Linked DNA regions of Styela clava. The protein of the gene in region 2 interacts with the protein of the main gene of each other region in a biochemical or structural test. Links are inferred from orthologs where the notes say so. Each region holds a gene or a part of one and is shown on either strand. Other genes may lie near its edges. The genes, in order: uncharacterized protein LOC120327575 and mothers against decapentaplegic homolog 4-like.

Region 1 (17,680 bases), on a different chromosome or scaffold from region 2:
ATACTTGCGTGTCACGTCGATATAGATGGATTACGAAGGTCATTATGGAAGCTTTTCAGTGGATCAGGTATCGGTGTTCCCTCTTCCGACGGATAGGATTCCGGGTTTTTAATCTTGTATAATACGATGGCTTACTAGCAGATACGCCTTCAGATGTTTATGTTGATGCATTGATTGTTTGCAATCGCTACACCTTCCACAAAATCCTGATGGGAACACTGTTAGGTAAATTTTAATTCAATCGGCTTACTTCCGAACTTTGACACGGAGTTTGCTAAACAAAACACTGAGTGTAACTTTCATGAAAAATTAAACATGGCAGAGTAGGATAACGACTAGTCTTTCAAGTTTCGTCTCTTGAATGCAATTGAGTTCAATTGTACACAAATTATTTTGTGACTGAATTTTTTGATAGAAGAATTATCTCACTTCATGTACGCATGGGTAATCGCGATGAAATGTAGCCAAGCCAACTCACAGTACGTGCATGACTGAATTGGCATATTCTCAAAGAAGGTCGCGGCGAGACGAACACGGGTTGTTTGTATGAATGCATTATTTATTGCCTACAGACTCGGTCTTAACAAGATAGTTTTGCGACAATAGCACATAGCACTAGAAAAAAGTGAGACGTAATGTGATTTGTACTGTGATTAAGATTACATTCATACGCTTTTCAGCGAACCTAAAAAATCTGACAAGGTCTGGAAAAATGGGGATCCGCATTAATGACATAGTATCAATATTTTTTGGCTGGCGCTCAAATTACAATTGAATGTTGCAGAAGATGGTTTTCGTTTGCAAACTGTAATCAACATAGATTTTTTCTCACTCATGCCTCCATGATAAAACCAGGCAAACAAAACAACCTGAAAAGGATTGACGAATACCTCAATAGCCTATTTATAAGAATGCTTCTTCCCATTTCACGATATAACTCATTTCAATCGGGGATAGTGAAAAGATCCATTTTCTTGAAAATTTAAGCAAAATTCCATTTAAAAGCATATAGATACGACGGGTTTTCATTCAAACGGAAATTTCGTCGTCCGCTGGCTAATGTTGTTATCTTAACGATTGTACGGACAAAATCGATATCGTCCAGTCAATTAAGTGACCAGAGGCCTTGTCGCGGTCCCAAGTGGCCATGGTTTATTTTTTTTATATATTAACTTGGTTTATCATACACGATAATGCATGGGCGTGAATAAAATGCACCGTCTTGGAGCGACAATTCAGGATTATACCTGGTAGTCAGGACAACATCGCACAATTTAGGTATATTTTATTTTGTAAGGCTTCCCTGGGCAATTACGGTCTAGACAGTTATGGAGGGAATTTAGCCGGAACCGGCACACTCGCAGGGTGTGTTTTACTTAAGCTGATTGGCGGTGTTTTAAAATTTAAAATTCGGTACAGCTGTCAACAACCAAATTTCACGTTACGACACGAAATATTTGGACAGCACACTCAAATTTTAGGCCACAAGTCCCATAATTACTGCCACAAAATCTATATTTAGAGAGGGAGAACTAATATCCCAACATCATATTTAGTAAAACCAACATCAACTTGGAAAACCTATATCCAGATCTTTGGATATCCCAGGTGGGATAAAGTCATACCAATATGTTGTATAAGTTTGTTTCAATATTTTGTACGCAATAAGGTATGCTGAAAGATTTTCCTATGCTATAAGTTTTGGTACTGATACTGATATTGACAAAACAAAATCGATATAAAATAGAAATTGTAATTCATGTATTCTGTATTTTTCTACTATTATGTCTAACTCCAATGGGAATATAAATAAAACATGGAACAGAGTATAGACTTCTGAAAAACTTTATTATGCGGCAGTATAAAACAATACCGTATCGCCGAAATTGTAACCATGCTTAGTATAATAATATCCCATCGGGTATCGAGCGGGAATTCGAAACTTATCTTTGCGGGGAAATAACTTTGTCGCTAAATCAATAGGTAACAGCGCAGACTAAATTTTCGACGACGACAAATTCACTAATCGATAGTGTATATACATATCAAAGTACTGGAGACGTAGAGGGAGAGGCAACAGTTACTGTAATAATAATTAGTGTAACGTTTTGCGCTCGATATTAAGTCTCGACATCATCCGCTTTCACTGTTATTATTTAGGCTAAGTTGGGTTTGCGAGGGGGAATAGTCGAACTAAACTGACCCAAATGCGTATGCATAATTATGCAACGTCAAGTCTAATGGTTGTTTCCCAAGTTCCCCAAAGACGTTAAGCGGATTTATTCTATCGATCGGAAAGATTTACTACGATTGACGCATAGGAAAAGGGATGATTGGTTATAAGTAGTAAAAAGCAGAAAACTACATTTATGACTGATACGTTAATTCAGGTCAAGAGCGAATTGCTAATCCTATAGAGATGCATTTCCAATGAGTCAATACTCGAGAGAGAAAAATCACTAAGTTTCACTAGGATCCAAACATTTTATTCATGACAATTTGTTTTTGCAATATCAAATAGTTTTGAAATCTCATTAATTCTTGCAGGCATATGTGACAGTTAAATCGTACCATTGGTTTGATTTATGTGTGTTTCCTAGATTAAATTTACAAACTGCCACACAAGAGAACGTGTATAAAATGTTCACAGAAATTTTGCAAACGAATTATGTGCAAACTATTTCTCAAAAATCGCGCTTATTAATGGTGGTTATCATTCCAACGAAAATCTAAATTTCGATTTCAATTTAGCATGTTCAGTATCCATAACAAACAGGCCGAATAGATTTGCACGCGATGAAATAGCAATATCATTCATCAATGCATGATGCGAGTGTAGTCCGCACGCACTGGCCATCTATCTATACGTGACAAATACCATATAATAAATTCACATTTCATAATTCATAATTAATAGCCTGTCCAAGAAAAATATACCGTTTTTGACACGCATGGCAAAAGTCGTGACGGCAACATAAATTATAAAAATGGAATAGCGTAGATTTAGAATTCACAGTAAAATGCGCAATTGGTAGTGCAATGGTAAATACAAGCGAGCAGGAATCACTAAAATCAATAAGTTACTGATAATCGAGATCCTATTGGCTTTGTCTGGAAATTGAGACAATTATTGCCGTAGCGAGATAACTGATGGGAATGAACATAAAAATTCATTCAGATTACTTTTCCGATAAATTTATAATAATATTTTTGAAATCCTAAAAACATCGTTCAAATTAGTGACGGTCATTCGAGTACACCATGTCATTATACCACGAAACACATTTCTCCTTGGCCTACCAATTTAATATTATTAATACACGGCAAATCGTATCTATATATGAGTTAGATATACATCATCAATTTGATGAGAGACTGTATCTAGGGACTGTGCTGCACGTAATAACACGTTGGATCGCGTCACAAAGGCGCGTCGTGAATAGTACAAAAACATACAAGCAGCGACAGCGCAAGCAATACTCGTATTAGGATTTGTAAATGAGAGCAAGCACACGAGACCAACTAGAAGACAAAATTAAAAACGTGTGATATTAACGATATCGTCCGCTTTGGCTAGGCCAAAGTCTCTAAAGTATAAATGTCAATACCAAATAGTTACTGTAAGTACGGTATTCTAGAAATTTTGCATTGTGATAAAATGAATATAATTACCCTAAATAATTTATAAAGGTTTTGCAAGAAAGCATACAGTAATTTTGTAACAGATATTATACCAAAGCCCTATTCATAATATTTTCTAACAACAACACTGTAGAGTGTTTACAATACTAACAATCAATCAGACCAACTGTCTGTTATGCTCATAAGCACGCTTGCAAGGGACCGCAATATGACAGGCGATAATGAAAAGTAAATTTCAACATTCTTTCGTATCATGTTAAGTCAGATTCAAGTTAACGACCTCATCATTTACTTAAGATTATTAACCCTGCACGAGTTCATTTAGTTCATTAGAATGAATATATGTAGATTTGAATATGAACGAAGATTGAACTGCATTAGCTAGTTTAGTCTTAGGCATTGATCCAACAATCTTGAAAACCCTCGGGAGTTATTCATATAAGTTTTATTGAATTTACTGTTATTACAGCAAAATTGAATGGAAAAAAGACTTAGTCAAGTATATTTGAACTTCTCTTCGGTACAAAATACAAGTATTATAAGTGCCTACAAAACTTGAAGACATTGGTGTTAAAAGAATTAAACCAGACAACATAATGAATAAAGTAAATGAAATTAACGTACATATCTTCTCTTGCTTGGTGTTGGAGAACCCCCAGAATATCTTACAGGTGGGTGAGAAGGTACATCATACCGTTGCTCAAATCTTGATTTGACCTGATCAAGAATTTTTTGATATTCTTCACGTTTCGCTCCTTCAAGATCTTTAGGTAGCAGAAGATAATTCCTCCAGCTATCAGGGTCAAAGCCCCAATGGCATGTTCGCTTCTCAAAAGACCTGAGTGTTGATAAAAAATTTTCTTTTTATTATCACCACATAATAGTTTGGACCGTATAAGTAATTCTTACCTAAATTGAGCACCGAGGGTCAAACCATACCAATCCCAATTTGAAATAAAAAATTGATGATGGTATATTAAATTTTCACTGTATTATGAAAACTGAAATTCTATAATTCAGGTCCCATAATATTCTAATTCCCAGAAGGATTGGGATGTTTTTACACTGACCATAACAAATTAAAAGCGGACAGCTTCCAGGAAAGAAATATTTCATTCAACTTAAAAATAGAACTATGATAATGTCAATAACATGATGCGAATGTCACTGACTCAGAATTTGCAATCAGTATGTAAAATCCACATGTTTTATACCTAATGCCCATAACTAATTTGAAAATTTTCATTTACCATACATGCAAGAATGTATAGTTAAATCATAGATGTCATTTGGTACCTGTGAGAATGTGTGATGAAACGTTGAGGGCTATACATACATCCACAACCTTCACATACAATGCAGGGTGCAATAGGTGAATTGTAAAGTTCTGGGTAAATTTTTCCATAACCTCGTCCAAAGCATTCATGATAAACTTCAATACCACTGTCTGGATCAATATGCTGTAAAATAGAAATCAAATAAATGACGATAATATTGATGAACCGAACCAACAAACAGGGACGATGATAATTATTAACAGAAACTTTGAATCCCACATGTGTAATCTTTGGTCAATACTTGGTTGCAAGGGTTTTTACTTGAAATACAAGAATGAAAATTGCTATTACAGTATGTGTATATTTATTAGCTTATTTAGTAAAGATTGATTCGAGACATTCCAGTAGGTATATTTATTAAGACGTAATTTTGTTCAATCAATTACAATGAAGTGTATTACGGAATTGCTGAGAAGGTGCTAAGGTATGTCTATAGCACTGACCTTTGGAAGTCGATCTCTGTGTGATTTCACAGGCTCATGTTGATCTGTTAAAAGTGCCACTAATCTTTCAGCATCTGTCTTTGTTATCAGACCACACTGTGCAGTGTTTATCGGTAATATTCCTAGTACTTTGAGAGTTTCTAACTGTTTAGGCAGGCACCGACTGCAGTAAATGTGAAGATCGGCACATGCTTGGTTTATTTCAGCTATACTGTATTCTCTCAATACTGAAGTCAGTATCTGAAATACAAAATTTAACAGGAGTTCAAAATGATGTGAAATAGGTACAAACTACCAATAAAGACCAACAAATGGATAGGATATATATATGCAAATTTGAGAACTGTCTTCTTATTGTAATTTTTGAAGATACAGTTGAAACATATTAATCAGTGTTCTGTTTTTGGATACGAAACAATTTTCATTCTTTGAATGTTGTTGTGCTACTACAGATCCAAATCATAAAGTTTTTACCTGTGGAAGACAGAGTCTTTTCTCACCGCCCACAATGAAACAGGCAATCTTCTCCCCGGCTAAACACGTTTCCGAACGCTTCGCCGACTTGTCGTTAGGAATGAAATATGGAATTTGTACCATTGGTTGAGGTGGTATTGGTGGCAATTGCTTGTTTTCCTAAAGTTAAGGAACAAAATTATAGGATATCTTGAGGCCATTTCCTGTGTAGGTATAATTATAGGTGCAGACATTAATCTGTCTGGCATATAGGGTAATACAACTAATAAAATAATACAAATGATTTAGGAGTTCCGTTGCACATCAATACAGAACTAGATTAGGTATGTTCAACTCAAGTTTAACTTTAATCATACAGAAGTATATTTGTGAAAGTGTTTAAAAAAAATTGCAATTGTTATCTTCACGCATATAAAAAAATACAACACATGGATAAGTGTCTTTACTGTTTGACAATAAATCATGGCATACTATAATTATTTCAACTTGAATAAGGCGACTACATAGGACACAGTGAATTAAAATTTACTTGATATAAAAATCTCGAAAATTCTTGGTGGCAAGTCAGGCATAATAACAAGCGCGGCTAAATTGCACAAATAGAGATTGTATACAGTCATGCATTGAAAAAACAATGCCTGTAATTTGAATATTTTAAAAAGAGAGTTGAATAAGTCACATGAACTCAACCTCGTGTCAAAAATATTAACACAGAATAGTCAGGAAATTGAAAAACACATTCTACAGATTTTCATTAAAAGCAAGAACCAGATCGCTAGTAATATCATAATAACATTATGTGAAATGGATACACAGCCACAAACATAACTTGATTTGTAGAAAGTTTATGTAATTGCTTTCACTTTTAACAATCAATTAACTTAAATCAGGAATGAATTTCGATTTTATTACATAGAGTACTGAACTATATATTGTTATATTGTATAATTCTCAATTTCAATCAAGTATTCCAAGTCTTGAAAAATGAAGATAAAAATTCAGAACGCTGCAGAAAATACTATCATCCAATAAAGATTCCTCTGTCCAATAAGAATCTTTTGTTTCTGAATCTTCTGTTTTTATGTCAATTCTGGCTATTGTAGATGTATAATCAGTATAGTATAATAATACCATCTGTAAATGATTATGCTGCAAAGATACGCTTGACGCTTCGTTTTTTTTTAGTAGAGTTAGGATTGAAGTAGGCTATATGAACATGAAAATTTCATTTATTCAAAACAGAATATCCAAAATAAAGACACCAACCTTAAACCACATTTGAGCAGCCAATGCTGGAAATCCACTCGGGCCACTAAGGCTATCTATGCTAGATAACTGATAACAGTTCAAGGTAGCTTTCAAGCTTTCTGGAAATGTTGTCGGGTGGAAATGTTCCATGATGGCGCGAGCAAGGGTATGCTCTGATCCGCCAGATATCATAAATAATCCCGGTTTGTAGTTCCAGACAGAAAAGCGTCAGATTTTGTCGAATTGTATCCGCAGAGTTGTTGACATTCCAGTAAACAAATGAGATGTATTAATCGTTCAACTTTTCAAGAAATTAAATAACCCATGTTGATATTATTTTGAATACAGTCTATGTATATTTAACCTGGTACATAAACAACATTTCAGATTACTCTATACGTAAGTTCAAGTGTAACTCGAACCATTTGCCTTTACTATTTTTCCAATTAAATTATTATTGGAATATTTCTAAACTTTATGAATTTGTCTGAATCTAGTTATCAGTTTTGTTGTTAATATACATTAGTTATTACAATGCTTAGCAGCTTTATAAATAATGTATTGTGACTAACATTTTGTAATACCTGAAATATATAACTAGAGTAACAACACTTCAAAATAATGCTACATTACAGCCTTAGTCCAGTGTAGTAAACATGGGTATTTGGTCCAGTAAAAATCATCAAAAATATTAACACCTTTCATTTATTAACACATAGTTTTTGATAGGAAGCAGCGTAATTGGCCCAAAATTGAGAACTCTTTTCAGGAAATTTAAGTATCAGTCAGACAAATGTAATGTGAAATTCAGGATATTATCTTTAATACTCATAAACAGTATTCTTATTTAAATCTAACTATATCTAAGCTAACACAAATCGAGGTTCACGCTCAGATATTGCATAACAATTATAAAGCATGTGTATAATGAATACCCGGTCTGTCGGCCTAGCGATTTCTATCGGCGACATAGGCTGAACACTTTTTGCTGTAAATTTACCATAGAATTTGGTTGATATTAAAACTTAAAATCTAATAATAAACATATTTTAACTGTTTAATATCCGCACATACGAAACCGAACGTAAGCTAAACTTTACAACAAAGCACCGTTGCTAAAAACCTAAGGCCCGGTCGAATACTGAAATTTAGCCGAGCGATGCAGACAACTCAGAACTGAGCGACGACGATCGACCTTTCCCTCGCTCGAGTTTCTCACTTTGTTTCTCTATTATGTCGCGAGGAGAACGCGCGTGTATGTGTGAATACATACGCGCCGTCTAGACGTCTGCTCTTCTCTTTATGGTGCTTTACTCCTGTATTCCCCGACGTCCGTCGACGATGTCGGTAAATCGATTCCTCGATGGACACCGGAGGCGTCACTTAGCATTTCTTAAGAATATTAAAATATTGCGCAAAATAGCGGTTGAAAGTACACATCCGCCTGTTCTATACAGAAAGTCGCCTAATATTGTCCGATCTCGGCCTCTTGAATAATATTGACATAAAACACTGCCGCTCACGATGACCAATAAGAAAGGAATGCGTGAGCCCATCCGCACAGAGAAATCAGTATTCTTTTTATTAAAAACTTCCACTGTTGTAATGCCGACACATTGCGTTATTTGACTATTTCATAATTTAAAATTACGAACAGTTTAGAATACATTATATAATACAGAAGGTAAAGAATGAGGAATCTCAGCCCAACGTATCTCCAATTGGACCCAATTTATATCCACAACATCTTAATCCGTTAAAAGAGTGCACTTACGGTCTTTCGCAAGCAGCCGGAGGTTCGTGAAATTAATCAATAACAGGCGACGGTCAACGTTGCTTAACCTCAATGCCATTTGGCAAAATTAATTTTGTGACACGCTGGATTTGTCGCCGGAAAAATGGATTTAATTTAATCTGGATTAACCTCGGAATCACTGTATTGATATCAAGCTTGGCCAACAACACTACATCTGCTACTACGCCGAGAAACACGCAGCAACTCGTCGTGCTTATTAACTTGAATTATGGGCAATATAAACACATCTTGTACGTCAACATACAGCGTTTAGCGGATGTTATTCCGGACGGAAAACGTCTAGCTTGTCAGTGATCATGTCATGATGTACATGTCCAGTATCTGGAATAGTTTATTGATATATAAAGAAGTAATACAAGCATTCGACATGGTCCGTAATTCTGACTACTAGTGTCACGTAGCTATTTTTCATGCTTGTATAAGTCAAAGCAGATATTTTGGCAGAACTCACAATGGCGTGGGGCTGCGATGCACATGAATATACACAAGACCAAATAGTCAATAATTTTTATCGGGAAAGCGAAAAACGGTTTTTCGCAATAACCTATTCGAAATTGGACACTTAACACCCTCCAAATACACCCAACATTTCATATACCGGTAATTCAACTCGAACGCTTAACATTGTTATTTCCACTTGTAGTTCTTCTCATGGTTACCGTATATGCCGCAACGGTATGGTAAGAAAACTAAGAAAACGAAGCATTACCCCGATTAAAACCAACAAAACACCAAGCCTACACAGTCTCATATAGTCTGAACTATATTTTACTGAACGAAAATACAAAAATATATATATACTCTACTGAAAGCAATAAGTAATATACAACACCAAGCCATGTGGAGAAAAATATACAGAATATCCCAGACAGGTTATACAATTACGGGTAGCATTTTGAGACCAGTTGCACAAAAATTGAATTATAATTACTGAAGGCATATGATGAATGGTAAACATCTCTTTTATCTTTCATTAATTTAGGTTCAAATGTTCAAAAAACACAATATTCAAATACACAAAACATGAAATAAAGCCTTGAATGACAGCTTAACATACGATGATGTCAGGAAAGGTAACTGATTCAGAATATGAAGCCATTTACGCCAGGTCAACTTACTTATATCAAATAATAGAAGCTTTAAAATGAAGTCTAAATGCTTACAGTGCCTATCTAGTGTTGGTATAAATTGACATATATCTTAACAACAAAAAGACAAAAATATTTGTATTGGAATGAAACATACTGAATAATAAATCACTGAAAAGTAACTTTGTTCACTGCCTCATCTGAATACTACTTTTTCCTCAGAATAGCAGCCTAAAAATTAATTTACAGAAAAATGATCATAAACAACTATAGCAATAGCATTGAGACTACCTCTATTCATATTCAGTTCTGATTGAAAATTAACTCGAGCTCCAGCTTACAGAATACAATTATTGGTAAAAAGGTTGTTTGCATGTCTTTTGCAGTGATTTACATTCTCAAAGCTGATCTGGCTTTATCAAGAATTTCTTTTCGGATTTTCGGATATTGTGGATTCTTATCAAGTACTTTGTGACAAATATTGATAGCGTCGATGAATCTTCGAGCTTTGAGATAGTTGAAAGACAGCTTGTATCCTGTAAATGATATAAAACAGACTTGGTAAGAGTCACGCTAAGAAGCTGTTACAAAAAAGATCTGAAATAGGGAAAAACAAGCCATTAGTCACTGATTTTCTTGGACAAACAAATTAAATATACTATAATCTTTGGTGGCGGCACAAACCATCAATTATTAATTTATTTGTTCTTAACACCTTACCCCCATTTGTTTTGCCTGGTGCCTTCCTTACTGTAAGCGAAAGCAATAGCCTTTTATTGTGAGGATTTTTCTAATTTTTGTGTACATGAAAAAACTAATTTCTTTGCATTGGCCAGCTATATGTTATGTTTAAAGTTGGTTATATAACCCGCCATATGACTGGCTATTTTTAAGTGTAAAAACAATATGGTTGCCTAAATCTGGAATCAGGATATCCAGAAACTTGAAAATATCGAATTAGTTTTGAGTAAAATGATGGGATTGATAAAATTCAAATAATTTTTTGACAATGAACATTAGCCGACTAGTTCGAACTGCTAACAAGCAATCATTCCAAACAAGAAATATGCAATAGGATTATTTCCCATTCAATTCCTATTTCAAACAGGATTCATCACACAAATCATCCTAAAATGTCTGCAAGAAATTACCATGCTCGATTGAAATCAACAAAGAACAAAGCATCGATGAAATGATATTAACCAGATTTTTAACCCAATTTCTGCTTTGTATTTGTAAACATCCTGAATTAAGACATCAGGATGTTGCAACAGAAATGTCAGATTAGTTTCTGCCTTGTGTCAAATTAGGATAATATAGTTATATTGTATTGCATAAATTAATAAGATAAGAATAATGACCTCTAAGCAGCCAGTGGTCAGAGCTAAAATAATCTTCGAAGGTGTAATGAGGTTACCGTGAGGTTACATAACTATGTTTTTTTACCAAGATCCCACTGGACAAATAAAAGTGTATATTCTTCCACGAGGTGACTCACAAAAAACAGAACCCTAAATTTATTGATTACTTTTGTGAAAATGAAGAAAAGGTACTCCTGAAGTATGCGCATCAAGATGTCGCACAATCTGAACCCTAGCCTGGTACACAACCTAAGTTCAGGTTGTGCGCCATTTTGGTGCGCATACTTCAGGAGGTCCGAAGAAAATTTGTTTAACACTTCAACTTCTATTTGTGTATGATTATATCCAAAAGTTTGAGTAATCTACAACATTTTACACAAAAGTTATGTTCTTTCAAAAACATGCGTCAAATGACATGAGTCTTGTTTTTTTGATCATCCTGTATTCTAATTAAACATTCTTAAGTAAAGAAAAATGTTGAAAATAGGGAAATCTTGAAGAAAGCTTGCTATGAGTTTTGGAAAATAATCCCCAAATACATTTTTATATACCATAAACATAATCAAACACTGTTTACATAGTCTGCCTACTCAGGTCATCCTTTTTAGTATTGTTTGCAGTTTTCTTCAATCAAGGAAAGATATTACCGATAAAGAAATAATTAGTTGATACTATCATCAATCAGCATTATAGCATATAGAGGTGATTACAATGTTGAAATAAACAGAACCCAGATTACTTGGAACATATTCTAAAAATAATATAACTTTTGTGCCAAGCGTCCTAGATCATTAAAACATTTGGGTACAATAATACACAAACAGAAATTCAAGTTTTGAATAAAGTTTCTTCATTTTCTTCAAAGTGATTAAGAAATTTATAGGTTCATTATTTTTGAGGTATCCTGTACTATATATTTTGTATAATTCAGTACTTCTTACCTATGCTTGGGTTAGCCTGATTGCCATAATCCCAGGCTTTTTCATAATGAGTTGAAGCATCTTGATAGGATTGTTCTTTCTCATAAATGTATCCAAGATACTCGAATGCCTTACAACAAGACTGGATTGAATAGAAAAATAGATGTTGATAGATTGAGCAATTATGAACATAGTTATCAAAGCACTTTGAAAGACAGAATTCATAATAGGTTTATATTTTGTTTTAACCATCTGATGTAAACTGCTTAAAATGACAAATTATAAAAAAAAAACTAAAACTTAAATTATTCTCAAATTAAAAATTAACAAAAACAAAAAACTAAATCCTAATGTTATTCAAATACTCAATTCAATTTGGAAATCCCTACTTGAAAACATCAAGTAATTTTAAATTTCATTTTGATACCTTATTATGTTCCACACATTTCTTCAACAGTTCAGTTGCCATATCAAATTTCCCTGCACTTATATAAACATCCGCAAGTAACAACCATGCCTGCTCAAAATTGTCTGCATCTTCCAGTGTCCATTGCATCTGTATTTCATGAAAACATAAAAATTTTACATAGAAATCGGTACTCCCACAGTGTGTGTACCAAGTTAGGGTTAGGCTATATTCTTATTCCGATTTTCCTTATTTTGGTTCTATTACAAATTCGGGGACTGTCTGTGTTAGCCAAGTAAACATACCCCTTGCCCATAGGATTCAGTCCCTTTACGCAACTTGATGTAAAGTAGGCGAACAAACTCAGTTACCTCCATATTGGTACACACAATTCTGGAGCACCTGTAAATCTTATATGAAGATTACTCACACCTTTGGCTCTGAGCAAGGCTCTGTACAAAAACCACTGATATTATATGATATGAAGGAGTCACTAATTCTTGAAAGGACGGGAATCCAATCATTATACCATGGGGTGTGGAGATGGGAATGGGGTTTGGATCTGCGATAGTGCTCAAACTTTAGGAGATGTATTTAATCATGATTCACATTTTCACAATAATGGCGGTATTTAAAAATATTGCAGTGCAAAATACTAGGCAATATGATTTTATTATAAAAAAAAATAGACAAAACAAAATTTTTTTCAAAAAAATCACTCCTAAACTTTTTTTCAAATATTCTAAAAAACGACTAACATCTACTTTGTCACCCCATTATTTATTAATATTTTTCTGCCGCAAAAATTAACGTCCAAAACATTCCAGTCCAAAGATGGACAATTGCTAATGCGTACATTATGCACAAATCATGCAATAAAAACCGCACAAGAGATAACATCATTGTAAGATGTGTTTATTTTAAAACAAGTTCATCATCAGCCGTAATCAATGTTATTTTAACCTTTTTACGATAAAATAAATATATACGAAATAATGATTTCCATTTGTGAAAATAAAATAAACAAAAAGAAATATTGAATGCTGATGTGCTTATTTGTATTAAAAAATGCCTCATTTAGGAATGATGTCATCAGTCACGTTTCAACTGGCCAAACTTGGAAGCAAAGCTTGTTTTTCCAGATCCAATCTTACATTATAAACACTGATCATAATTAGTGATTAAAATCCAGTGAGGCTGTTATCTTTACTCAAAGAAATCAATCCCAAACTGAAGTTAGATAACACACAAGAAATCTCCTAAATAAATTTAGGACTATGTAAGATAATTCGAATACTCTTGGTTTGTGAACTAAATTTCAGTGATAAGAACACAATTAACTTTGAGCATTTAAACGCCATGATGTTTACGACAGCTCAAGAAGGTGACACAAGAAATGAAACACAATTGGGTACTGTATGACATCTGAGATTTATTATTTCACATCAATGGCTTATAATTATTCAGAAGGACACACTTTGAAACTCTCATATTTACATTGCATAACACTTTCATAATCACTATGCAAATCAGTCATTAGTGTCACTGTTGTAAATCATGAAATTATTAAAGAGATAAGCGTAGTTGATTTCAAGTTTTTCTTGCATCGACTAATTTTTTTACCATCGTTTTTTTTCTATTCAAAGAAGAGGAAAGTCGACAAGACGGCTCAATCAAATGCCAAATCATAGCCTATTGCCTGGTTACTTTGTCTCTTATGAGAACAGTATTAGTTTCAGATGAATGAACTTGATGAAGTCATGTGCACAATCAAATAGAATTACGAAAATAGGTTGCAACATTTTAGTATCCGTTCAGGTACCTTTATTATTCCACACTATTATGGGAAGTTTACCCATCAATTCCGAGAAAACATTCGCATTTGTATGCATGTATGTAATAACTTGTTATTTCTGTATTAAATTATAGCAATGGTAAATTATTCTATACCTTTGAAATTCTTTTGAGTTGGTTCCTGGCTCTCGGCGTTTGCTTCATAATCTGATAAGCGATTGCCATTCCCAGCAAACATGATACATTGTCTTTCTGAAATTATAATAGTACCGTATTGTCGAAGTCAATCAAAACCTACTTGGATAATGTAAAAATATTTTTTCAAATATGGAATATCAAATATATTCTACTGGTAAATTCAGTCTTGTTTAATAGATAACGACAGATTAATATCATTGATAAAACCATAGATACCTTATAAAGATACAGATTCTTAGATCAATTCTCTATTTTCTTTATTAATACTATCAATGTTATATGATTAGGCTGTTCCAAGTTTGATCGTTGTATGTCAAAATGAATATTAAAATGAAAATATAATGAATTATGACTGAATTGCAAATAATACAAAAAGGGTCCAAAAAAATTATTTTTAATAGCTTCATAGCTTTTAAGTAATATTCAAGAAAAATCTTTTTTCTTAATAGATAACGACAGATTAATATCATTGATAAAACCATAGATACCTTATAAAGATACAGATTCTTAGATCAATTCTCTATTTTCTTTATTAATATTATCAATGTTATATGATTAGGCTGTTCCAAGTTTGATCGTTGTATGTCAAAATGAATATTAAAATGAAAATATAATGAATTATGACTGAATTGCAAATAATACAAAAAGGGTCCAAAAAAATTATTTTTAATAGCTTCATAGCTTTTAAGTAATATTCAAGAAAAATCTTTTTTCATAAAAATAAACATTATTGTTCTCTGACCCATACATGAGAAAATGATGATTTAAATCAAAATAAACCGATCCGACAAAAATACCTCATTTTGTAGAATTTCCATAAAAGCAGCGAGTGCTTTTTCCGCACTACTTTTCTGTCTGTGTCCGAGTAGAACATATTTTTCTAATATTTTACGCTTGGTTGCATCTGTTGGGGTTGCTGCAGGTGTTTTACAGAGTTCTTTGATCAATCTTTCTGCCGTTGAAATTCCTGCTTCTGCTGCCGTCAATTTGTCATGAGAGTTTCTGAAAGTAAGTCATTATTTAGATCAGGGTTTATTAAACTGGGTCCTGGGTCCACCAAGGGGGCTAAAGATGGGTTCTCTGGGGAACATCAGCAAAGACCTTTATTAGGTATCATTTGCGATGTCTACATAAATTCAAAGTAAATCGGCTGTAATCGGTTTATTACTCAAACTGTAACACATTTGTTTGCGTTCGTTCGTTAGCTTTTTATTCGGGCGCATCATATTCTCAAAGAAGAACGTCATAAGTCTGAAGAGTTTCAGAATATTGTCACAGATCCTGTAAGGTTGAAAACCGCTGATTTTGATTAAGTGAAACAAAGGTATGGTGAGATAATCGTGAATTTCAATAAATACATTTTTAATGCTATATATTCATAAGTTTTCCGAAGCATTTTCATATCCAAAATTTGTGGAAAAAAATTGGTTGATTCATAAAAATTAGATTCATACTTCAATGACAAGGGGTCGCATGCAGTCGGCCATAGCATTTTGTGCGACACTCAGCTCTAGGAGACAGTTTTAAAAATTTCAAATATATTTCATTAAAAAGGTTTAATTGGGATAAATTACATAACGAATTCGAACTATTGGGAACACGGTCTTTTGAAGAACTTTTCTAAATGATGCCCTTTGCCCTTTATATGACTTATACAAAAGAAAACTTTGTTCACCCCTGTTTTATGACAACCCTCACAATAAGCATGTCAATAGCAATGAAATTGTATGTGTCTATTTTGCATATGATTTTAAAGATATAAAACAATGGAAGCTTGCAAATCGAAAACAAATCTTACGAATCATCCAGGTTCTCTAATACTTCTCCACCCAGAGTATCTTGATCAGGATTAAGACAAATCCGAACCATGTTCGTAACAGCTTGTTCTCCCCAATCTGAATCACGTCTTGCAATGTTAAAAGAACGCAATGCTTCTTTGGTCTTCCCACTGTACCTGTTAGATATCGGAGATTGACTTGGGAATGTAAAAATATTGCTTTGAGCTGTAAACTCACAATAGGTTTGTCAGTAATATGTAAGCAGGGCAGTCTGGCTGGTTTGAAATCATTGTGGCCTGGCTTCAGCTCCAGAGCCACAGTATATTCAAACTGATGCTCCAGCTCCATGCCCATTGAGTTTGAGTGTGCCACTACCATGAAATATCTGCCCAAATGCAGTTTCGAGAAAGCGGGACTCAAAACTATGATATGAGGATATCAAAGTTTAAAAATAAAGTTTTTAGGGCATAAATTGAATTCGAAACTTTTAAATCAATATTATGAATTAAAATTTACGACCTGAACAGGATAGATTTTATTATTTGTATGATATTAAAAATTTTTTAGACTGTCAGGAGCTGGAGCCACTAAAATTCCTGGTAGCTCCGGCTCCTTCTCCATCCGATACGGTAAGCTTGGCTCCAACCAATGTCGATCGCCACGTCTCTAGCAGTCGAATGCGCCTGATGTTGAGTGACTTTTATCGAAATACTCCCAAAAAGTGTCTTGAAACAGTTATGTGTTATGACATGCGCAAAATACAATATACACATACAGTATTTGAGTCTGAACAAGCCTGATAAAGCATATTATTACATAACAAATGCAAGTTTTTCCGCTTCCACTCCGTTTAAAAATCGCGTGTCTAGACTGACAAACGATCCTACAATAACTTCCACAGTATGCGACAGTTATTGTCTCACTCCAAAAGTAGTGTGATAAATTTTATTCGTAATGGTAGCAGTGGTAAATCAGATATTGAAGTTTGAGCAGTCATTTAATGTAACATTCATGGTTATTATCACGCCCTTTATCTGAATTGTATTATTTAAATAAATCTTAAATAAATATTGAAACATTTATTCCGGGTACAATTAAATAATCAAATCAACAACTTAAACGGAACATAAAAAATACAATTTTTGTGTCAATTTTAACAATAATGTGCCCACAAA
Region 2 (17,252 bases):
AAATTCACGGCTGCTTACACCATTCGAAATGATTTAAAATCAGGAGTTTATCGACATAATTTTTGTGCATCTAAAAAGCAAAATGATGATGATCGGGTTGTGACGTTTAAAAGAAATGATGCACACGTATGGCTTTGGTTCAGTTATCCAATCACCAATTCAATCCCAGAAACGAGCGCCAACAATTTCTCAAATAGGCCTCTCACTAGAAAGGTTCGTGGCCGCGGCGTTAGAGCACGCAACAACCAATGACAACAGTAATATCGACCCAAATGACGATTCCTTCAACTGCCAAAATTGAAAATATTCATAACTGTTGTGACGCTATAAACCAGGCACGGCGTTGCTTTCAGAACGTGACGTGACAGAACGATAGTAAATTTTTATATGTAACTGGAACTCAAGATGACGAAATAATCTTAATCTGATACCTGTCCTCTTTATTACCGGATTACAATTTCGCCAGAGTTGAGAATCAAATGTTAACTGAAAAATGATTTTACAGGAGTATAAACGAGTAAATAAGACAACTCTAATTTTGTAAACAACGGATATTTTGGTTATCTGATGCAGATTTTCTCTTTCGTAAACAAAGTAATCTCAGAATTTTCAAGTCATTTGTCACTACCTCTACAGCACTCACATATCGGCGCGACAATATGCTATAAAATAAAGCACGAGACATGCCTGCTGTATACCAGCATTCGGGATATACAAAGTTTTCGCCCTATGGGCGTTTCATCTCATAATACAAGGCTAGTTATAATTTCGACGACTTCACACAGACCAGCGTACCGAGGTGGCATTACCTCGCGACTGGAATTGGGAACTATGCCGGATCGAAAAAGCGATGAGCCGGTCTTTACCGTTTCGGATAAAGCAGTTCATGATAGCTTGAATTATTCATTTTCTGCCGCTTGTAGTTTGGAACAAACGATACTATTAAAAGTGTCGAATTTCATAACTGCCGTATAAAAAGACACTTCTAGACCACCTGTTTACAACAGCCATGATTTATTTTGCAATGATCAATTACTTATTAACCATCCAAAAAATAATAAGAGAATGACAACAAATGTGAATAATACCATAATGCTGAAAATAAGTACAGGCCCCATCAGAAGTTGGCCAAGATGCGTAAGGCAGTCAAGCATTTACCTTCAACTGAGGATGAAATGAATAAAGGAACATATAAAATATCATGTGACCGACTATATTTAACAAGCGCTTTTTTACATAATCATTACAAATTTTATATTGCTTAGTCCCAATATTAGTAATCCTCTGTTGTCATCAGTTTTTAAAATTTACGTTGATTGGATTTTTCAAGACATTATATCCAGCACAATGCTTGAGCATAGGACAACCTCTGATAGGGTTAGGTAATAAGATATAGTGCAACATAATGAAGAAATAAAAACTCAAAAACTTATGGAAAACTCAGTTGGCAAAAATGTTCAGTATTACTATTAGGTGGCAAATGAACATGAAAAACAAGTATGAACAAAATCACAAGCATTACCAGTCACAGAATATATATTTAAGTTTAAGAATAGCAAATATCATAAAGCCAAGAATCACTGGGCCTATGCAGGGAAAATAACATCAGAACTGGAATTGACAAAATAGCTAAACTGTACTAGATTGATCAGTGAAGATACAAAATATGTTGCACAATGATTTCAAACCGCTAGTAACTATTTGATAGCCAGTCAAGAATGAATTACACTGGTAAAGTAAGAAAAGACAAGTCTAATTTATTTATCAGAAATGGTCCAGCAATGGTAATACAGGTGCTATGATGTTGTCATTGACCAAAAAACTGTCGACAGGAACAGAATGAAACTTGGGTATCATTGACATGCTTCACAAGCACACACATATATGTACAGTTGGAACTATGGATTTCTTAAAGTATATTCTGTTGATATAATTTATTTGATTGGTAGGTCCTGCATGGTATTCATAGTTCAATCGGATATCGCAGTTGAAAGCATTGGACAGATTGCAGCTGAATCTGAGCCTTTTTATTTTGAATCATGACTTTCATCATTACTTTCAATCATGTGGATGCGGTTCGGCAATTGGCATGGTATGGAGCACTTCATCTAGAAGTTGTAGTGCTCTACAAAAAATCATATGAAATAGGTTACAGTGGATAAGGTTTGCACCAAATGTGACCCTGCTTTGTCGCATACTACTACAAACATGTCATACCTAGCACTCTATCACACATAATAAATACAATGAAGGGTGCTCCAGAAGTGTGTGTACCAATACGGAGGTAACTAATTTTGTTCGCCTACTTTACATCCAAGTTGTATGAAGGGACTGAAACCTATGGGCAGGGGTATATGAACTTGGCTGACACAGACAGTCCCCGAACTCGTAATAGAACTAAAAAAAATTCCGAGTTTGACCGGGAAGCTTAAGAAAAAACAGAATAAAATTATGGCCTAACTCTAACCTGGTACATATACTATGGGAGTACCCAATGAAGAGATATAGAAGTTAACTCAAACAAACTCAGTTTTATTCGAAATTGATTTCTTATTTAAATACACATTGATAAATGACGAAATCATGTTCTCTGCAACAACCCACATTATCTCAGTACTCCAGGGGCCACTTAACATCAACAATTTTCCCGCTTCAATATGAAAGCTTGTTTGAAAAATTGCATACCTATGAAGTTGAATTTCGATCCAACAAGGTGTCTGTTTGATATTTTGTCGTGGATAATCAGGCCCCCAACCTTTAACAAAACTCATTCTTAATATGCAAAGTCTTCTAAGATCATCTACTCCAATTCCTGCAGCTGCTGATAAACCAGGTGTACCTACATAAAAAAAAGTAATGTATCACACACAGAATCCTGAATGATTTTTTCATTTCAAGCATCTAAGTCAGATCCGAATGGTATGGAAGCATTTCTGCTTTTGCTGTCGAGAAACAAATTTTACCTAAAAATTTATGTTATGCCACGAGAATATTTTTCAGCGAATGAGATAGATTTAGATGTATAGAGTTATATATATATTCTGCATACCGACTGCTTGTGCAATACCACCAACTGAAGCAGAACCAGGTATATTCCCTGACACTGCTGCCGCCTGTACTTTTGCTGCTTCTTGTGCGGTACGTGCCTGTTGTTGCATCTGTCTATAACATTGTCGTAGATCAAACACCTAAATGAAATTAAACTAGATAACTCAAATATTCATCAATTTAAAATTGCTACATAAAGACAATTTGTGTGGAAATTCCATTTATGTAGACTTATATTTCAGATTCATCAGATTATATTTATCATTTGCATTCATTCAGGATCAGAATCTTTTGTAAATATGATGACATTTGAATGTCATCGTATTTAATTTGATTGTCATTTGTTGTTGTTGATTTCGATTATAGGGTTGAATTATTGAATGACAAATTAATTTCCTTCATGAATATTTCACACATACTTTAATATAGGCATTCGGATAAATCTTATGAACGGCATCTCCAGGTGCTCTCCCAGCTTCTCTGTCCAAATAATAACTTTGAACAAAAACAGCATGATCGCTCAGACATTTCACCCAGACATCTCCTTCACCATGACATACTAGCTGAACACCTTTTCCTATATGTAACCTGAGATATAAAAGGAAAAACATATTGCACAAGTGTTCACCAATAGTCAAAACACACCAAGCTAAAGCCAGCTGAACCAGGCTGCATATTACAGAGGAACATTTTGAAAAAAACAGTATGTGAAAAATTCTTCCTATGTAGTAAGATTAAATGAATGTTTCTCTAATACAGGGGTCAGGAACCTTTTTGGTCAAGAGAGCCATAAAATATAAATATTTTCAATTGCATTTCCGTGCGAGCCATACAACATTTCTTCACTTAATCAGGCCTGAAATGTTTACTCAAAAGTCAACACATACAATGTCAGTATACACTTAATGTGATTATCTGATGCTGCATGTAGTCGCTGCAGGCCTTGGTTACTCACATGCAGCCCAAGTTGAAATCTACAATACTCATCGCCCTTTTTCATTTAGGTATCTCCGTAGTGTTTTTAAAACTCTACCGCTTTGTGATGTCACAATATATGTTCCAGAATCCCCTTGTTTGTCACAATGCCTGTCTGGTAATTATCTTACATAACATAGACATGTGCTGGACGCGCCTTCTCAAACGTATTGGGAATTTCCTGCCAAATTTGGCTATAAAAGAGTTTGAAATCTCGTAACAATAGTAAGCTTAGTCTTGGGATATTAGATTTTTTTGGGAGCCATATGGCGTCACCAAAAGAGCCATATATGGCTCGCGAGCCATGGGTTCCCGACCCCTGCTCTAATAGAATGTTTCTCAGGCAATATCACTTCGACTAGCCCCAAAGTACCAATTTTATCAATCTCAATTACGAAACAAAAATAAAATTTCCAGTGACAAAAGTAATGTCTGAAAGATACTATGGTTTGAATAGATTTTAACCACGTTCAATTAGTTGTGATTTGTCGTCATTGATGGATGTTAAATTGAAAACTGACCTTGCTCTCTCTGACGCTTCCGTTCTGTGAACATTCGACAATTGCCCGAGACAAAATCTATCACCACCTAGAATGTTAAGACATCTTTTGGCATTTTATTAAAACTTATCAGCTGTCATAATAAGAACTATATTGATATAAGATCACTCGCAGTCTTCTGAATCCTGAAATTTTAGCTGTTGTATAGTAGGATTCAATTCCAAAAAATAAGTAATAAATATGAAACAAAAGAAATATAACGCACCAGAAGGATCCACATATCCATCTACGGTAACAGCTGGACATGATGCAGGAACTTTGAATGTTTCACCCACTTGTACATCCATCTCATATGAAGTTATTGAACACCAAAATTCTGGAGCTGGTTAATAAATAAAACAGGTTTTATTATCATAAATAAATAGAAGTTAAATATTATTAGACAAGTATCTTATTTAGGCTAACAAAAGTTTGATTGCTCACGTGGGTGATTTGAAATTGGCATATAATTCATGTCAGATCCGGGTGTGTAGTATGGTGTATTAACTGGTGAAGACATGTCAGGTGTGTATCGTGCTGTGCTGCTTGACCAGTTCATTTGGCCATCTGTTAACAATAACGAAATTCAATTTTATACGGAATGAAATATAATTGAAGCATAATATATTATAAATTGGATATTTTTATTTTGAGTTTTCAGCTCAATTAGAGCAAATATAACTTTCTAGTACTTGTATAACAAAGTCAACAACATGTGCGTTTTTTTTATTTCAATGTCTTGATTTGGAAATAAATCAAAAAATACCAACAAAGATACCTCGAGTGATATACGAAGTTCCATTCCTAAACTGCACTATATCTTTGAGAAATATAGTGAAGTAGAAAATTTTGACCATTGATTGGTTCAATAAGAATAATATTATGTCAATTAGATAAAATTGAAATTATGTCTGCTAGAGACTATAGTTATTTGATCAAGCCAATATAACAACAATTAATCATGAATAGATTATGAAATAATGATAAAACAAATTCGTTCAAAATTCTTTATTAGCATCCTGTAATATGATAATACGTTATGCAAACAAGACTGCTGACAGCTCTAGTGGTATAGTACTATTTCCGAAGTATCTTTCTTTAGACTTCAACATTGATATTTGCAAGACCAGGCTTACTCAGTGTAGGAACGTGTCTATTGAAAGTGTACATATCCATGGAAAACTAATATTCAGAAACAATAGATGGAAATTGTAAGGTTTGTAGTCAGCATTGTGGATCTGAATTTATACAATCAATCATTCAATTTATGACTATATGCTGTGAATGAAACTTACTTCTTTGACTATATTCCATCAATTGTTGTGATGCACTGGGGACACCCTGAGAAGGTGGTAGCATAGTATTGTTTGTTGATGCATAACCCAGTGTACTTGATGAAGTTCCACCCAGTCCACCTGCAAAATATTTGTTTATTTAATATTAATTAAGAAGTGAAAATCTACATAATTATTCCAGTAATAAATATTGAATATACAGTATGATTTGATTTTGAGTAAAAAAGCACAGTACGCCATGAATTATTTCACATAAATATAACAAATTAATAGTCATAATATTATATATGGTCAAAAATCAAGAAAAGTTTACGAACATTTCTGAAAATGAGTTTTTCAATAATTTTTTGTGTGTTACTTTTGTAAAAAATGATAAAATTAAATACCAGATAACATACACAATTTTTCAAGCATAACATTATACAATCAGGCATTTCCAATAGATGTAAAAATTTCGCATCATAATTTATAAGCAATACTCAGAATATGAACAGACATAATCAATCGACTCCTGCAGTATTACCATCAATTATTATTGATTGATTAGCGCTCGAAACGAGAAACTGGTAAACATAGTTCCAAACATACTTTTGCAGTGAGAAAGAAATCATGGTTTGTAAGAAAATACACATTTTTTTACATAAATTTAAATGTTTGTTATTTTAGAACTTCCAATGTATTTCATTAATTCCAGTCTGAGTGAATATTTCTCAAAGCAACCTGTACTGGAGCTTGTTCAGTGATATTAAACAAAAGATCACGATACTGTAATGTTACATATAGGCCCTCCTATGTAAGTTAAGAAGTTAAAAATTAGCTTCATTTGAAAGATAATTTTAAATAGGTTCAAAAATCATTGGCATTTCCACATTTACAATGAAAAATACCTGGAACATTTTTGTAATCATTGACAGAATGTTGTATTGTGTTTCCTGAACCATCTGATGTTCCCAGTATATGAGTTGCACTTGATTCAGCCTTCATGTCTCTGTAGTCTATAGACATCAACGGTGCTGGGGGAGCTAGAGTAAGAAAAGTAAGTAATGAAGATGAAAAAAACACAACATTCTGTTTCCATATGCAATGAATTTATATAACATTTAGACAAGGTTGCCGAGTAGTTGAACCTATATACATTGGCATTGCGCAAACACTAAAATGTTATAAACTGTCAAGGCCAATCCCACTCGAAATTGAACATTTGCTAATTCACACATTTACGATTTTGTTTTACTACCATAGTTGTATTACACCTTATTTTGATAGTTGTATTGATATTAGGTAATTAAAAAAAACTAATTTATGATTTTAATGGAAATGGTGGTCATAATATATCAAAGTTTTCAAAAACATATCACAGCTAGAATCTACATTGTTTGGATTAAAAATTTTGGTAAATACAATATTAGGTAAGAATAGTGTGCGATAGGCTACTAAATATACAAACACATCAAATTTTTTCCAAACTAGGTTTCTCTTAGACTAGTATTGGTATATACCGCCATTTGAAGTGAAATTTGTACATACAGGGTTGCGTCAAAATACAGATCCCATAACCTTCTTACTTTTAAGAAAATAAAAAATAAAATTATTCAAAACTTTATGATTGTTTGTGTACGATTGTACCCGAAAAGTTTCAGAAATCTAGAACACTTTGCACAAAAGTTATGTTCTCTCTAGAATATTATCAAATGATCTGGGATCTGTTTTTTTGTTACCCCTACATTATCCAATAGCTTTGAGTTGACATCTAGATCCTCTAAATGTCTAAAGTCTGTACATTTCTAGAAGTGAAAATATTTTTCAAACCTGTGTGTTGCAGTGTTAGTCCAGATAAATCAATCCCAGGTGATACGACTCGTTCATAGTGATATGGGTTGATGCATACAGAATCACACTTGAGATCAAATGCATATTTACAAGTCTTCAAATGCTTAAGTTCATTTTTATGAAGATCAGGCCATCTCCAAAGTCTTGCATAAATCACATGAGGAAATCCTTTCCTTCCTGCAACCTAAAATAAATCAGCACTGTCAGCACTATACCATTATAAACAAAAAATAAAATGATAAGTTGAAGTTGAAATAAGTCAGGTATACAATCAAAGTTACAATTGGATAAAAAAAAAGAATATTTGAATCAGTCAATATAATACCATTGCCCGCTTAAGTTACTCAGCGTGGGTTCAAAGGTTCGAATCCTGTAGGCTATAATTAAGTGCAAGATGATTGCTGGACTCCTCACAGTTGTATGAGTGGTTCATATAACCACTGGTCGGTTATGGCTTTCTCTATCCTCAAGTCCATGTATCTGAAGCAAATAAATGGCTAACTAATCCCATACCAAGAAAAGACTGGTAACCGGACGAGAGATCCAGGTATGTCACATGATTAGGTCATCTTATCGATTTTCCTCTCGCGGATCCTGGGATAAATATGGAAATCCTCTCCTATTCCACTCGATATTTAGCAAGCAATCAAAAGTGTTTTAGTGAAGCTTTACCTGAAGTCTCCCATCTAAAGTACGTTGAATAGTGACACAAGTAGTAGGATGCGCTCCATTAGTTGTAATGGCATTTATAAGTGCTTCTAGTTCATCCTTCTTCTCTTTTAACTTTTTAACTAAACTTTCAATTGCTCTTTTCGCAAAACTTTCACTTTCACCACCTTGTCTAAATGGATAATGTTGCATTTAACTCAAACAATCTTTTAATATAAACAAGATTCATTTCTTGACATTGTTATAAACTGCTTGTCCGACATGTATGACTTTGCTCAGACAAAATATTTCAGGAATACATTTGTGATAGTGCACAGCAGGGCTCTTGAATTACTTAGCATAACGGGGTGAAAACTCAAAAAAATCAGCCACGAACGCGAATATAGTTCTAAGTTTCCGAATTATTTTCAGAAATTGATGAAATAAAAAGATAAATAAGATTACATCTTGCCATTATACCACTTTACGACTCACCTGTGACACATTAAACTATGAACTATACTGAGGCAGGCATCATTGGATGTGGCAGGTGCATGCTGTTGCTGATGTATCGACATTGTATTCGGCTGAGGTGGAGGCAGGGGATCTTTATTATAAAGCGAAACAGACATTTTTGATAGTTCAATAATGCTAAATTATGGTTCTGCTGCACAATTATATTAATTGAGAAATAAAAATAAACATTGATGAACCAATAAAACGATTTATACAAATATACAGAATATATACCGGTAATAGGCCTATTTGGAAAAAATATTACAAAAAATAGACTTTGGCTAATAAAGTAAAAAAAGAAGAATCAAAAAAAAAAAAAATTAAATATATCTAACCTTATCTAATCATGGAAACCCTACATAATATATGGGGCAGTAATAGCCAAAATCGAGTTAATTTTGAAACATTATTTATTAATAAAAAAATTTCATTATATTTTGAATTCAATCAAGTTCGAAAAAAATATTTGAATTGTACTGTATGGCATCTTCATTATACATTGAAAGTCATTTTAGTAATGAAGAGAATCAGAAATATTTTGTAACTTGTTTTACACTACCACATTTCTACAGGTACCGGTATACTAACTACGCAATTCCAAAACTAAATTCAACTTGAAAACTTAGAGGAATGTGATATACATTAGTGTAAGAAACTATCGGAAAACATTAATCAATAGTCTGATAGTTATACCTTGCTGGCTAACACTTTTTAAAACATATCATTTTTTTTATTTTATTGATTCCATTTGGCAAGGTCTGTTATAACTTGATCACTGCTTGTTTGGATAAAACATAACAGTGCTCATTAAATTGTTTTTTTTTTCGCCCAACATAAGGTTAATATAGTGGCAATAATGATGGCTATAAGTAGGTTCCATTACATTTGAAACCACGTACATTTGAATCCACAACAATTGCACCTGCATACTATTGCACCTATCAAATTTTTTTGTTTTATGGATATTTGAACCTACACTAACCCTAACACATGGGTTTTAGCACCCGCATATAGATTGAACCCGCGGATATACACATGGGTTCAAATGTACGGTCAACCAATAAGTATAAGTTTATTTCGATTCCATAATCAGAATAATAGACGATAAAGTAATTGATAAAAACAAAACAATTAGAACTGATTATAGAATCGGTAAAGCAAACAATACCTCTAGTAAGGTTTGAAAAGTACAAATTTTAGATGAGAAAATATTACGCGTTCGCTCACCCAATCCTTCTGAACTACTCATTTAAGCGCTGCAATAATGTAATCAGACTAAAAACTATGAGCATGTAAGAAGATATAGAACAGGGGTTCCCAAACTTTATTGGCCACGGGCCAAAATTACAATTGAAAGGATGTTCGCGGGCCGGAAGAGTACAGTATAGCGCCTGGAGGTGTGCGGCGGTTTAGCTGGGATTTAGTGGATTCACAGTTGACATTTTATGAAACATGCTTGTTTGACTCGTAATGACGCATTATGTCGTAGGTATTGCATGTATTGCTTCAAAACTAGAATAGTTCGTTGGCAAAGGGGACAAATCGCTGAAGTCTGAGTCATACGGTAGTCTAGTTCAGGGCTACTCAACAATTTCACCAAAGGTCCGGTATGACAACGTTTCAGTTGTGTAAATTAGCGCCGACTTGCTGAAAAGATTACAGATACGGCATTCGACCCCATAGAACCTGTATACAATACAGATATATATATAAATATGTATACGGTAAGTCTTCCGGCGACTTGAATTCAAAATCCAGTTGTTTGAGTTTCATGATCTCCCGTATTCCCATATGCTTAAAATTGTTCATGTTTTGTAACTTATTGAGGAACCATCTTAATCCTGTAATCCAACTCTTATGTCCAGTAGACCTATGTCTGTACCGGTATGTGCGCTTAATTCAACCAAATACCGGTACCGGTACCGGTACTCCAAAGTCCGGATTCGCCAGTTGAGTTGCCCTGGTCTAGTTTATGTTTATTATTTGACATCTTTAACCTTATTTAAATGTCTGATTACTAAATTACTGCCCTATGCAATCTTAATACTGTGATACCGGTACCGGTACGTACCGGTACCGATTAATTGAGATACCGGTGGTACCGGTACGGTAGTACCGGTACGGAGATACCGGTGTTCGAATTGCTATGATAAACACAAGCTTAGACTGTGATGATGACATAACAATCTGACAATTGGCAGTATCTTGATTCAAACAGGTAGAAACAAAATCTGTTTCACTAATTCACTTAAGCTTGGCGGGCCATTTTTAATCGTTACGCGGGCCGGATTTGGCCCGCCCCCTGCCCGCGGTTTGGAAACCCCTGATACCGGTACAGAAGAATGAGAAAATCACAACTGTACACTTTATTTTTATTTGGTTCTTCTGTATGTCAGTAGCCTAAGTACGGTACCTCCAGACCTAGCGTACCGTACCGTACACAGTTACAATATAAATTCAGAGCCATGAAATATCCCAATTTCTGTTTTCTCTCCGTTTCTTGGCGCGGCGGTGTGACTCGCTCGCCACCGCACGCACCTCTGATTACCCTGCGTCTACGACCGGCAACTAATTTGCCTAATGTTAAACAAGTTCATGGACGCTATCTTGTGCCAATGACATTAAACAACATGATGCGCAACTCCGGCATTTTTGTCCGAAGATCGTATTCGATAGCACGCTCCAATGCACATACTTGACGAGACGAAAACGAGCGGATGTGTGCTGCTTTCAAGGCGTAACACGAATGGTGTTCGTGCCTGCTTTGACAGTTGTTGTCGATTTTAATGATATTTTTGAAAGTTGGGGTAAAAAGAAATCGTTAGAAGGTAAGGTGAATACTATTGTTGTATATCACACCCGGGCATCGCACTGTTAAGTACATGTGGGAAAGCCAGCCTTTGTCAAATACTACGAAGTTATTAATTCAGTACGGTACGTAGTTGCCCATTTGCCGAAATTACATATTTACTTACCCCTTATGGTTTCAAATAGTTCATGCACCTCCAGTTAGATTTTTTTAATCAGTGAGGATATATACTCATTGTTGATTGCTGCTCATTGTAACATACTATTACGCATTCACTTTTATTTGCGTATTGAATCAAAGTGTTAACAAGTTCACCTAACATTTCACTCATACCGGTCTATATTGTATAGTCTGATTTCTCAAGTATTTGGAGTCACGAATGCTTGTAATTTTCTGACTAAACCCTCTTATTAGTTGGTTTATATACCAAATTCAGTAAAATATTTTTTAAATAAAACATGAGATATTGGATTTATTAGCTTTTCCATTCTGAATCATATAGACTGCTTTATTTATTCTCAACGAAAATTAATAAATCTCCTCTCTTTCTTCAGATGTGAAAGTTGTGGACCAACCTGTCTAAGCATTGTGAGACTCTTGCAGCACAAGAGGCAATAGCAGAAATAGTAAGTATATCAATCAAGAAATTAAGCCGACATAAAGCAAAACTTTCAACTATTCGTCTAATCTCAATTTCCTATTATTTATTCACAGGACAACTATAGCAGACGGGGAGATATCAGAAGTCTGGCGACATATCAGTGACAGTGTGATTCCAAGAAATATAATGCAATTGAAAATAGAAAATTGCAATAGAAAAACAACCTATGGAGGCATGCAAAGACATTTGACCCTCCGGTAGAGTTGTGTATGGCCCCCACATCCTGCAAGGCTTGAGGAAAATAACTAAAAATTCCAAAGCGTAAGATTGCATAAGCGGTCTTATTTGTAAAAAGGCACAACACACGCCAGACATACTTAAAACAGCTTTGGAAATGAGGATTACGGGTACCTCACTGCACCTGTGTTATATTTGGTTCATCAACTTTTGGTAGTACTATAGAAGAAATTCCGGAAGGGGTATAATTATCATTCATGCTAAAATACTATCATATATTTTTTGAACAACTTCAATCTAGACCAGGGATCTCAAACTCGCGCCCCCAGAGAACTTCCAGTGCGGCCCTCGAACGCTGAACAATAATTGTAATAGTATTTTGGAAGTTTTTTTTTTTATCTAAATGTAATAGATTTTTCAAACCTTCTAAAGTGAAATTGATTATTCACACAGAAAACAATTTACTGAAAGTAGTTTTGGAATATTAATTTTTTTTGTCCACATTTTGACCCAATTAAGAATACACATCAAGCTAGCAAAAGAATACTTGAATAAAACACTTGAGTAATTAAATTAAACGCAAAGTACATGAAGAAGGTGGCATTTTCGAAGAAAATGGGAGTTGTAACATTTCTGCTCTTCACAAAATTCTGAAGCACATTGTTTAATTTGTCATATTTCCATCAATACAATCAAAAAACACAATAAGCTCAGCAGTCAATATGACAAATTCGAAGACCAACTTCGAACAGAAAATTTCCATGTGTTTGTATATTAATATAATTATACGACTTAGTTACTAAAAATCAATATCAATAATAATTCAAGCAATCCTATGCCACGCAATGTAGTGCGAAATGTCTTGTCGAAAAAATCTGTCATTTGTTTTTTTACTGATCTATACATGAAATGATAAAAGTAACTTTTTTGCATTACTGGAATTAATTAAACATTCGTAAAGATCCAGATAAACCCATGATCATGTGGCCTCGTTAGTTAGAGTTGGTACTATAAAATCATTTCAGACTGGCCTTAGTATGCTGGTGACACAAAAAAGATGCCAAACGCCAGGACAAATGTAATTATTAAAAAAAAGAGTTTATACTGTAGTATTTTTGTTAATTTTAGGTTCATATATTTAGATTAAGTTATTTTTAGTGTATGTATTATTCTTTCCTTATTCAAAGCTTGTTCAAAAATGATTTTGATGGTTGTACATAGAATTTTACGATTTTTTATAATAAATACTGTAACTTGCAAATGTTGCAATAATAGTGGAATGCAAATATTAATATGTAATTGCATTTGAAATTGAAGAAAATAATAAAACTTAATCCAACTGTTTAGTTGCATCACAATATATGTCACAAACTAAAACTATCTTAAAAATATCTTTTAAGTATACATTATCAAAAACTGTTTGCGGCTCTTTTTACAATTTTCAAAATGCAATGCGGCTGTCGAAAACCCATGAGTTTGACACCACTGATCTATTCTAGACGATTCAAGCATTGCTTTGGGAAATTATATCACTTCAATTAAATTGAAATAATCTCGCTATATTAAATACAAAATCGTTGCTATCATAAAGGTAAACCAATTCAGCCACTGGAAATATATTGGCCTTCACAAAGCAATGGAGGCAAAATTGAGAGTTCATGAGCTATGAACATTTGTTCTTTTCTTTGTCTTGAACTTTCCATACTCCACAGCCCCTATTAATTTTTTTTAATTTTAATTACCATGTGATGGTCATACATATCTTTAACTTGTATTTTCTGTCATGATGTATTATCTCAATGTGCCAAACTATTAATTAGTGTGCATATTTTGCTTCCAGATGACATAAATGTATTGTCATGTTTATTACCTCAGCTTGGAGTATTGACAAGAAAAAGGTGCCAGTAAATTAGGTAAAAAAATTTTCAACTCATTGTAATAATCAGAATTCACAATCAATAGGAATTATAAACAGCCAACAATCAGTGAGAATTATATGCGAAATCCCTCAGAATAAATTTGTCTAAAATCGGAGGAAGGCAAAAAATATAGGTAGTTTCCATCCACACAAGCATTTCAAGAAGACTTGCTCGAGCCAAACTAAATGAGCATCGTCAGGTGATCGGTAAGGCTGCAAGTTGAATTCAGCCCTGCAACCTCCTGCATAGAAGACAATATTAATTAGTGGGCTATGAGCTAAATTCCTAAATTTAAACAAACCTATCTACGATGCATTATGTACCAGCAATGTTACCTACGATTAACTGAATATGTAATATGTCTAATAAATTCACCTACAAAAGCAAGTTCGATAGGTGCAAACTTTGTGTTATGGAATTGTATCGCAGCACAGTTTTGTATGACACCCTCTTTAAATGAAATTTCAATGATTAAGCGCAAACATTAAAATTACTAACTTTGAACTTTGTCATTATCTGCAAAATGTTCCACACAAATCTTTCCGCTATCGCGTTTGTAATCTTCTCTGATAAAAAAAAAACGTCTATGATGTCCAGAATTGCTCTTTACAGCTTGCCTGTTATTCCAGCTTTCCAAGTAAGCAAAACTTCTTAGATATAGAGATTATTTTGTTTCGTTACAGGCGCAAAAAGGCAGGTACTACACGTAAAAAAGACGCCGAGTAGCAAAAGCGAGCGGAAAACGGACGGGAAAGGCGACGAGAAATATGTGCATTGGAGCGTATCATGAAATACAATGTTTTGCCTGTAGTCTTATGGAGTGACGTCAGAGTTGCCTATCATGTTGTTTAATGTCATTGCTTGTGCCATATTTGGGAAACGCGAAACAATGGAGTCCTATGGGAAATTTTCGTCGTGTTGTTGTACCAAATAGAATAAGTCAGCTGTTATAAGGACTAGAATGAAGCCGAAGGTTAAGCTTCATGCTACCTAAATATATAATGCAATTAAGAATAAAAAAACTATCTAATGCGTCAAATTTGACCTCAAACACAACGTATAACCATTTTTGGTCATTTTTACGAAGATTTTATAGTGATACACCAATTTAACTCTGTAAAATGTCTCCACAACAATTCTACAATGTCATTTGTTCATCTAGCACGGCTCGGAGCTAAGCAGTAGGGCATTATGGAGCTTGCCAGACGAAAAATGTTAACGAGAAAATAGAAACGGCCATTGAAGCGAAGTTGAGTCAGCCGGCAATTTCATCGAATAAATACAACTTTTCCTCCAACGATTTCAGTTATAAAATTTACGATTGTAATATCTTTCTAGGTCTATCCTTCCTAGAAGTTACCGCACCATACCTATTTAACAAAGTTATATGAGCTAGTGCTCAACTTAAATTGCTATCCATGGTGAGAATCTACAAGTGTTTAATTGCTTACTCATAATTTTTAACATCGTCTTAGCATAACTTAACTTATGATAACTCAAAAAGACAATGGAAAGGCTACCCAATTCAACGCAAGAGCGAGCAGTACAAACTGAGATTCATCCAACCGTCTACAACTGATAACATTTTAATTGTTACGTCACGCAGAATTCTGCGTTCATTGGCCAATGTTGCCGGAAAAGCAGAGAATATAAGACAGATGATAGCATATATTTCTTGTGGTAAAAGCGTTTTTTCGTAAAACGTGCAACTTTTGGAAATGGGAACAAAGTATTATTTATTACTATATTACTAAGGAACATTTTAAAATTGTTTCCAAGTAGTTCCCTTATGTGCGCTACAAAACTGAAAGATAAACGGCCTCGTCTCGCGGCCTATATTAGGAAGCATATAGAATAGAACGTTTACTGAGCTCAATGAGCATATATATATACAATGAGTGGACACTTCCAAATATTTGCTCATCCCTTGCTTCGGCCGCGCCGGTTGCGAAATTGGCCGTATTGAGGCTTTTAATTTTTAGATTCTTGTTCGGTTTTGGGTTTCGAAGTATGGTAAGTTGAAAGCATACTAACTATAAGCATATGCTTATTGGAAATGCATATCTATTAGCTATAGCACAGAATATGAAGTCAAATGCGGTTATTTCTGATTATAGCATGGGGTTTAGGCACATATTTATCCATGGGAAAGGAAAGGGATAAGAAGTCCTAAATATATGGCGAACCACAGCTTCTCGCAATCATAGATTATAAGGTGCTCCATACGAAGCCCCAGGGCTGTCCAATTTCAAATCATTCTGGCAGTCTGGGATATCTTGACAATAAAAACGAAGACAAAAATTAGAAGAATAGCAGGGAATCGGCTTATCGGCTTTCCTCTCCACATGAGTGAATATGTTAACCCCATCCTATATCAATGAATACAAAGCCCCACGTCCCCCTTTACATGGGTCGTAACGAGTGGTGGGATTCAAATTTTTGTCAGCTGGTTCCATCACAAAAGTCATAGTTTTCGGCCGGTTCTGTTACATGTTTTTTTAGTAATGTTGACCGATTCGCTGATCACATCAGCTTCACAAATATCGCATCCCGGGGTCAGTAATGATAATATTGTTTGCTCAAAATTGGGACCGTAACTGTGATACAAATCCAACACAGAAGATAAAAATCAGAATATAATTAATTTTTGTTGTGAATACATTCCTTAATAGTTGTCTTTAACATCTTCGCCGATGTTCGTTAAAATATTCGAATAATTTTATATAAAAAAAATACGGTTTGCCCACCACTAATCACGGCGCATGTAAATAATCAATAAATGACAATAAAAAATCAACTTTGTTAGCATTAAATTCCAAGTAAAATTTCCACATT

Evidence for each region.
Region 1: the proteins of mothers against decapentaplegic homolog 4-like (region 2) and uncharacterized protein LOC120327575 form a complex in vitro, tested with the Homo sapiens proteins (3 studies listed by BioGRID and IntAct, with this or other methods). The link is inferred for Styela clava from reciprocal best matches to the Homo sapiens genes SMAD4 and SKI.

What each region holds. Positions count from the first base shown.
Region 1 is NC_135256.1:13,034,264-13,051,943, reverse strand, and holds the start of uncharacterized protein LOC120327575, read right to left. Parts: upstream 7,528-17,680; 5' UTR 7,337-7,527; coding exon 7,163-7,336; intron 6,056-7,162; coding exon 5,897-6,055; intron 5,663-5,896; coding exon 5,423-5,662; intron 5,103-5,422; coding exon 4,939-5,102; intron 4,481-4,938; coding exon 4,267-4,480; intron 1-4,266. Other genes in the region: tetratricopeptide repeat protein 21B-like, read right to left, coding at 10,439-10,584, 12,351-12,471, 12,757-12,885, 14,686-14,781, 15,525-15,729, 16,526-16,681. UniProt on the Homo sapiens protein: May play a role in terminal differentiation of skeletal muscle cells but not in the determination of cells to the myogenic lineage. Functions as a repressor of TGF-beta signaling.
Region 2 is NC_135260.1:17,842,465-17,859,716, reverse strand, and holds mothers against decapentaplegic homolog 4-like, read right to left. Parts: upstream 9,022-17,252; 5' UTR 8,968-9,021; coding exon 8,831-8,967; intron 8,529-8,830; coding exon 8,360-8,528; intron 7,872-8,359; coding exon 7,667-7,871; intron 6,880-7,666; coding exon 6,745-6,879; intron 5,978-6,744; coding exon 5,858-5,977; intron 5,130-5,857; coding exon 5,007-5,129; intron 4,906-5,006; coding exon 4,789-4,905; intron 4,612-4,788; coding exon 4,545-4,611; intron 3,637-4,544; coding exon 3,468-3,636; intron 3,189-3,467; coding exon 3,050-3,188; intron 2,840-3,049; coding exon 2,686-2,839; intron 2,126-2,685; coding exon 2,059-2,125; 3' UTR 998-2,058; downstream 1-997. UniProt on the Homo sapiens protein: In muscle physiology, plays a central role in the balance between atrophy and hypertrophy. When recruited by MSTN, promotes atrophy response via phosphorylated SMAD2/4.